Nothobranchius furzeri: one gene and its partner. The protein of the gene in region 1 purifies or fractionates together with the protein of each later gene. This does not show direct contact. Links are inferred from orthologs where the notes say so. Each region holds a gene or a part of one and is shown on either strand. Other genes may lie near its edges.

What was found.
Region 2: the proteins of znf644a (region 1) and cbx3a purify together in Homo sapiens (affinity purification with mass spectrometry; 3 studies listed by BioGRID and IntAct, with this or other methods). This does not show direct contact. The link is inferred for Nothobranchius furzeri from reciprocal best matches to the Homo sapiens genes ZNF644 and CBX3.

The regions. Positions count from the first base shown.
Region 1 is NC_091751.1:71,506,798-71,510,619, reverse strand, and holds part of znf644a (zinc finger protein 644a), read left to right. Parts: intron 1-133; coding exon 134-709; intron 710-1,297; coding exon 1,298-1,423; intron 1,424-3,822.
Region 2 is NC_091751.1:29,401,704-29,405,821, reverse strand, and holds cbx3a (chromobox protein homolog 3a), read right to left. Parts: upstream 2,757-4,118; 5' UTR 2,608-2,756; intron 2,595-2,607; exon of another isoform or gene 2,277-2,594; intron 2,094-2,276; 5' UTR 2,090-2,093; coding exon 1,947-2,089; intron 1,798-1,946; coding exon 1,641-1,797; intron 1,538-1,640; coding exon 1,443-1,537; intron 1,196-1,442; coding exon 1,069-1,195; 3' UTR 708-1,068; downstream 1-707.

The DNA of each region.
Region 1 (3,822 bases):
GAACAAGTATTAATAACATGGCTGTGAGGTGGTATTCATGACAAGTATACACTGTAATTTTGTGTGTGTGTGTGTGTGTGTGTGTGTGTGTGTGTGTGTGTGTGTGTGTGTGTGTGTTTGTTCTTTCCTCCAGCACTACAGCTAGAGTCAGATTCGGAGACTGTGACTGACCTCCACACTTGTCCGCTCTGTGGGGATGCGTTCGATAACAGGACGGGGCAGTCTAACCATATAAGAGGTCATCTGAAAAAGCTTGGGAAAAATTTTGCTTCAAAGAGCAAATCCCCAATCATTTTACTGCATGAGTTGATGCGAGACAAAAAGGAATTTCAACAAGCCCTTCAGATTCTGGGAAGAAGACGAAACCATTTTCATTATGGTGCTTCACCAAAGCTGCCCATCACTAATCGCTTCACCTCTTCTCAGACCAGATTCCCCAAAAGTCATTCCATCCCAAGTGTTCTCACGGACACCAAACCACTGATGCCCACATTTACTTTATCTGACATTAAGTCTGAAAATGGGCAGTTGGAGAAGATGGGTGTTAAAAATTCTCTCTCAGGCACAACTGCCTTAATAGGGATTCTGAAAAAAAGGAAGTGTCAAGAAGACGCCAGACTAAAAGGATCAACTCCGATCTCAAGAAATGAGTCAACGGTTTCTTCAAATAGTGAGCACAGTTCAGGATCACTGCCAAACTCTCCATCTGGTAAGCAACGTCCTCAGAAAGGTAAAAGGCAGAATTCCTTCAAAGGAATTCCCTGATGTTGTCGACGTTATTTTCTAACAGAAGCTATGTTCTTACACTTATTTGATTCTCTTGAATCACACAGGTAAGGTTTGGAACATTTAGCGTTGACTTTATTTTTATGCACTGCCAATTCATTATTAAATATTTCAATACATCACATCAACTTTAATGATAATTTAGCAATTTTTTAATTTTGTTGTTTTAGACGAGCTCATTTTCAATGCAGGTTTTGAAATTACGTCAACACAACATTTTTATATCAAACATCAGTTAATTGGCTTCGTGCAACGATATGTCTATGATTGTATAGTGATTAAAGTAATTGCTGTGGTAAAATTTGAGAAGATTGCACAAAAACTGTCATTGCAGATTTAAGTTTTTGCACAGACACTCATCAACGATAGATGAATGGTCGAACTCCTGAACGTTTTTTGCAGTTCAGAGATATGTAGACTGGCTTCAGCTATGCTCAGATCTTAGTCATGTCCTAAGATCAATGTAATGTACTTAGGAAAATGTTATTACATTTTGTGTCTTTTTTTGCAGAAAAGGGTGAATTCAACAGGAAGATGTGCATTCATTGCAATGCAACTTTCCACAGCGGAGTTGCCCTCTCCAATCACCTCCGGGCATATGCAAAAAGAAAAAGGATCGCCTTACAAGAGGGAACCAGTAAGTATTGTCACCAACACTAGTAGGCCTTTCTACTGTAAGGGTGTAGCCTTTAACACGTCAGCCAAGCAACAAACAGGCCACCAGCCGAGCTGTTGGTGTTTCTGTGGCCATGGATGGAAACCATGGTGTGCTGCGTTGAAATTCCTAGCTCGGAGCGGGTCTAAACACGTCATTAACTCTACGTTATCGCGTATTTTGTGCCCAAAGGCTTTTTACCTAGATGAAAAATCCACTCTGCAATTATTGCAAGTTACCCTGTTGTTATGCTTTCGTGTAAAGTATAACCAAACTTTCGAGCATTTGTGCCGCGTAGACGCCATGTTTCCTGCTTCCGTAAGCTACGCAACGTGCACGGTGATGTCATTCGCGCAGACTGGAATTGATAAGGGGCACGTTTGCAAAAGTGCCGAACGATTCCTAGGAATTGAAACGATAGGAACCGGTTTTCAACAAGAACCAGTTTTTATTCCCAACCCTAGTTAGCACCAGCTAGCTGTTAGCCTCAGCTAGCTACAGCTTTGTTGCAAGAGAGAAAAACACTACTCACCACGAAGGTTTCAGGATATACTTGAAAAATCCAGAGTACAAATAAATGCCAGATAGATCCACAGTCTATGTTAAAATACAAACAGTTGTATGTTATTTATCGTGATATTTATCAAATATGGTTATATATTGAGAAAATATATATTTAATTATAAAAGAGAATTAAAATAAAACACTCACAAGTATCTAAAATTGGCACCGTTAAGTACCGGTATCGATTCCTGGGTACCGGGAGTTAGTACAGAATCCATTCAAATGTCAAAGGTACCCATCCCTAGTCAACAGTGAACAGACCCGTCAGCATTGCAACTTTTTCCACTTTAATAAATAATATTTGTCTTCTGTGTGCTCCGCTTGTCTGCTGTCCTGGGTCGGGAGTCTCCAGATGGGAAAATGTCAACAGGAACACACCAGCTGTTTTATTCTGGAAGATAATTTATTACATTAATCCAACAAAACGGCTCGTTACAGACTTCTCTTCTCAGCTCCTTTAGCTTTCAATCCAGAACAAGCAGAATGAAACAAGCCCCACCCCCAACTCCCATTTCTCCCTTTTCATCCCAACACCATCGTAACTGTGGCGGCGACCCATGAGCCATTAGATTAGCCTCTGTGACTCGTTAAACCCAGCAATGATGCTGGTCACAATATTGCCACTTTGGCCCTAAAGGGTTCATTTTTACAGTCTTTCTCAGTAGACCTGTCCGTTATATGCCTGTACGTTTATAACGTACTATTTTATTTATTTATATTATAAAGGCTGTGGTTCCTAGTTTTCACTTTTCTCTCCTCCAAACCCTTCTACTGTAGGCTTGAGTCAACACACACACACACACACACACACACACTGGTAGAGTGGGGGAAAGCAGGTCTTATTACGCCTGTTTTGTCTATTTTTAGGGACATTTTAAGCTCCGACTAAATGTTCTATGCAAATAGAGGCTCAAAGATCAGTTTCTACTAGGGCTGGGCGAAAAATCGATAAAATGAATTAATTCGAATTTTTTGTTGCGGGCGATTCATAAAGTAGGTAAATCGAGTTTTTGTAATGGCGCCTTTTTGGCCCTCCGGAGGTCCCGTAGCATCAGGTTCCCCACCCACGAGCGAGCAAAAACACACAAAACAACAGACAGCAAGCGACCACATGGCGACCGGTGATGGCGGTGAGAGTGGGAAGTTTGTTCCGAAGAAGGGGATAAAATCATCTGTTGTTTGGAACTGGTATGGGTTTGCTGCAACAGACATAAAACAAGAGACCCCATGCTGCAACCTTTGTCTAAAACCCGTTGCAATCAAAGGCAGCAGCAGCACCACTAACTTGTTTCAACACCTAAAACAGAGGCATCAAGCCAAACACGAAAAATGCCAGTCTCTCCGAGACGAACAAAGCCGCAGTGACCAAGAACCAGCGGCTAAAAAATTGCTAACTGTAGCCAAATCGTTCGCACAGGGGACCGCATATGACAAGAAAGGGGCCCGGTGGACTACAATCACCGACACGGTTGCTTTGTATACAGCAAAAGACATGGTACCCATATATACCATGGAGAAGACGGAGTTTATAAATTTGATGAAAACATTGGATCCCAGGTATGAGCTACCCAGCTGAAAGTATTTCAGTGAAGTAGTCTTGCCGCAGCTGTACAGAAACACACGCAAAAAAGTTGGCAGAGAACTGGAGGAGCTGTCCTTTTTTTGGCAACAAGCGACATGTGGAGCAGTTGAACTATGCAGCCGTGTATGAGTTTAACGGTGCATTTCATTAACAATGCGTGGGATTTACATAGTTTTTCCCTCCAAACGTCATACTTTCCTGAGGACCACACCAGTGAACTTATCGCCAAAGGACT
Region 2 (4,118 bases), about 42 Mb from region 1:
AATGCAACTTTATCCCCCATTCGTTCAATAAAAACCACCAATATAGACACCTGAATTCAGATTTGAATTACCAATCACCACACGGTTGGACATAAATATGAAGTTTTAGGTTACGTCACCATCCATGAGTCTACTACAGGTGATAAAGCCAAGTCTTCGATCTCTACCTTTTTAGTGTGAGCATCATTAGGTGAGATGCAATGATCAAATGACAGGTAAAACTATGGTTGGACTGATTTTAGTCTCCTTTAAATGTTTCCATTCATCAACACTTCCTGCCAGCTGTTCCAGGCTTTTTTGGAAGTTTAACATCTCCGACAGGCAAATAGCTGTTAACATGTGACCAGTTACTTTTAAAATAAACTCCATAATGTGTCTTTACAAGTGGTTATAGAAGAAACCAACCATTATCCATTACTGAGAACCAGCAGACTGAAGCCTCATTTACACCAAGTGCAGAACAGAATGAGCAGCTGATAGAGCTCCAGACAGGTGTGGACATTCATGGTCCTCCTTGGATAAATATCTCACCACTGTTCCTCTAAGGAGATCAGAATGCTGCTGCCAAAATAACATTCTGATGTAGGCCAAGGATTGATACCCTGACAGAACCACTCAGCTGGCTGTGACACTTTTAATAAAGCAACATTTAGGTTTTCTTTTTTCTGTATGCATTTGTCCTAAACTACAAATGAAGAGGGTAAAACTAGGCCACATAAAACCTTTATTTGAACTTTATATTTACAAACTGTAAACAAAGCGTTCATTTCAAACACGTCGGCACTTGCATCAAGGAACAAAACATTTAACTGAACTCAAAAAGGTTGACATAGACTCAAGTAAAAAAAATAAACAAATTGGAATGTGGACTGACATTATCGCTTTTTGACTAATCTTATATCCAACCCAGTCACCTGCTTTGACAAACTTTTAATCTACAATACCCCAACTGCCATACAAATGATTTTGTCTCAAATCAGCTAAAGTAGCTAAAGAAGAAAAAAAAAAGCAGAACAGAGAACACAATAAAAACCTAAAACATAAAGGTGTGCAGAATCCAGGCAAAGGCTACTGAGCCTCATCCTCTGGACAGGAATGCCACGTCAGCCGCTCCTCATAGAAGGATATGACCACCTGAGGGCAGCGCGTGTTGGCCTCACGAGCAGGGACCAAGTCTGCTTCATCTGACTCTTTCCTGGGGGACAAAAAAATAAATAAAAACTAAAATAAAACAGCAGATCTTAGAAAAGCCTATTTAAAAATCAAAGAAATAAATTATATATATTCAAGTGATTTTATTTCTAAATACTCTACATGTTTGTAATAAACCTTTTCCGCTTTTAGTTCGACTCCCTAAAAAAACACTAATGGCCATGCAAAGCAACCGAGGTAAATGTGAAACTACTCTTGTTGAAATTGGGTGTAAAGTCTGCCTAACTCACCACTTCATCAAGAACATCAGCTCCCCGCTGCTGTCTGTGGCACCAATGATTCGCTCTGGCTCCAGGTTCCTGGCAAAGCCGCGAGGCTTATCAGGCTGTCAAATAAAAACAAAAACAGGTTATAAACCATATTCTGATTGCACAACCTACAGGGAATCATGCTAGCAGGTCAGAGACATAAAAAACGTATAATCTAACCACATCTTTCTTCTTGGGTTCCTCTTCTGCATCATCTGTGGAGGCCTTCCTCTTCACTGCAGCCGGCTTCTCCTTTATATTCTTCTGGGAATCCAGAAAGGCCTGAATGAGCTCGGGGCAGTCCAGGTTATCCTCGGGTTCCCAGGTGTTGTCCGCTCTGAGGGAGCAAAAAAAAAAAAAAAAAAAACAGGTTAGCGTTCAAACCAAAAACATCCCAAACGTGTTAAAAGGGAAAAGCTGGGAGGCTTCATGCAGCCACGGTGCGTTAGAGGCGGAGAGAGCAGGACATTGTCCCGGGTAACTCACTCTGTGAAGCCTTTCCACTTCAGGTAGAACTCTACTTTCCCGTTGACGATCCGCTGGTCCAACACTTTCTCCACAACAAATTCTTCAGGCTCCTCCTGGGTCTCGGTCTCCTTCTTAGGCTTTGTATTCTGTTTCTTGCCCATTTTGCTTTTTAAAGATAAAAAGACGAGCCGCATTTATTCGGAAGGCCTTAAATCCACCCGGATGCTAGGCTACAAATAACTCAGCCAACGCTAACATAGGACATTACTCTAATTTGGCCCACCTGCTAGTTAGCTCAGCATTTAGCAGCTAAACGTAACAAAGGTTGCTAACACGCTGACCCCTTACCTAAAATTTCCTTGATTTTAAACAGTCTCATCTGCGGATTTTATTTGAGCAACAGAATTAGTAGAATTGTAAAAGATAAAATAAAAACTGTGGTAAAACTACAACACATCCCCACAAAACAACACCTTACTTGCCTTACTTTCAGCTAGCTTAACATATTACAGTAATAGCTAAACAATGGCGATGCTAACGCTGCTGGGTCAACAACTAAACTGCTGTTTGTCAAAAAACCAGCAACGTATAGGTGGCGTTTTAACACGCTCAGAGTAGCCTGATGTAATTAAAGAAATACTCAACATTGTTTTAAAAGAGAAGAACTCCGCACACTCACCCAAAGCGCGCGGATTTCTATAGTTGTTCAGCACCACGCCGCTCGGATGAAGTCGATCCCACAACGAAGGCGGCGCCAAAAACTAGTTGTGGCTACGGAAGCCCAGAAGGAAAAGCGATTCGTCTGCAGCCGAGCTGACCCATGTGTTCCAGAAGGGCCCTTTTCATGAACCAAGGCTTCAAGCCGCTAGTTAACGCAATCTGAGACACGTTGGTAGTAAATGAAAACGTTTATATATGTTTTAAACTATAAAGTAGTGGAAGGAATAAAGCATAAACACTAGCAATCATTTTCTTTTTCAGATTGTTCAAAAATGAAAAATTTAACAAATTGACCCCAAAGTCATAATGCTAATGCTGAATTCAGATTAAATTGAGCACCTGATGTCTCAAGTTGTTTAGATTGTTCTCAGACTGAGTGAAACAATTTCTTTTACTTTCTACTGAATACCGTAAATGACTGGCTTGTGATTTTGAACGAGTATTTGTTAAATATGCTTTACAGCCATATTTTAATAAATCTGTCTGCCTTCTGTCCTGAAATGATGCCGGTCAACACAGGTGTTCAGCTCAGGTGAGGAAAATAATGTTGATATGCTCACCAGCACGCAGCACCATAACAGTAATGGTATATATAACCTGTTAGCCAGACAAAACAAGACATTATTTAAATGTTTTTAATAAAGAAATCAAGTATTCTTCAATCAGATTTATCTTTTCAATAATCACCGCAAACAGACAGACAAATGTGACTCATGCATGAAAAAACAAGATGTATGAAAGTGAAATGCACACAAATAAACGTTTAAACCAGGACAAAGAGAAAACATGATCTTTGGATCACAATTAAGTTTATACACTCCCTAGTGCAGGGGAGTCCAATCCTGGTCCTGGAGAGCCAGTAACCAGCAGGTTTTGTGGTTTTTCTGCTTCAAAATGCTTGATTAGCTGGTTGAATCACCTGTGCAGCAGCTCATCAGGCTCTGCAGAAGCCTGTTAATCACCTGCTGATTGAAATCAGGTGTGCTGAAGCAGGTTAAAACGAAAAACGTGCTGGATAACGGCCCTCGAGGACCAGGATTGGACACCCCTGCCCTAGTGTAATCAAACACTCAGCCTGTCATATTGCATTCTCTAATAATCCCAAACATATAAACAGACAACAATCATTCTTGTTTGTGTAGCGAGTGGATAACATATTTTGCATGACAGGGGATTTCTTCTGTTCTAAAGTTATTTTTAGGTGAGGTTGTGCTTTAGTAGATGTGAGGGGATTCATGTCAGATCAGCTGACTTAAGTAAAGCACAAAAGGGTCAGCAGATGAGTAAAGTTTGCCTTTTTGTGCCATTTAGAAGCATCTTTATGGGAAAAGTGAGAAATTATGTTTTCCAGAATGGGTCTTTGTAACATAGATACAACCTTATGTATCATTTTGGGTGTATTTTAGGAGTAAAGAGATTATAAAACAATTATAAACAAGAAAAAAACTGATTAGAATACCTCACACAATC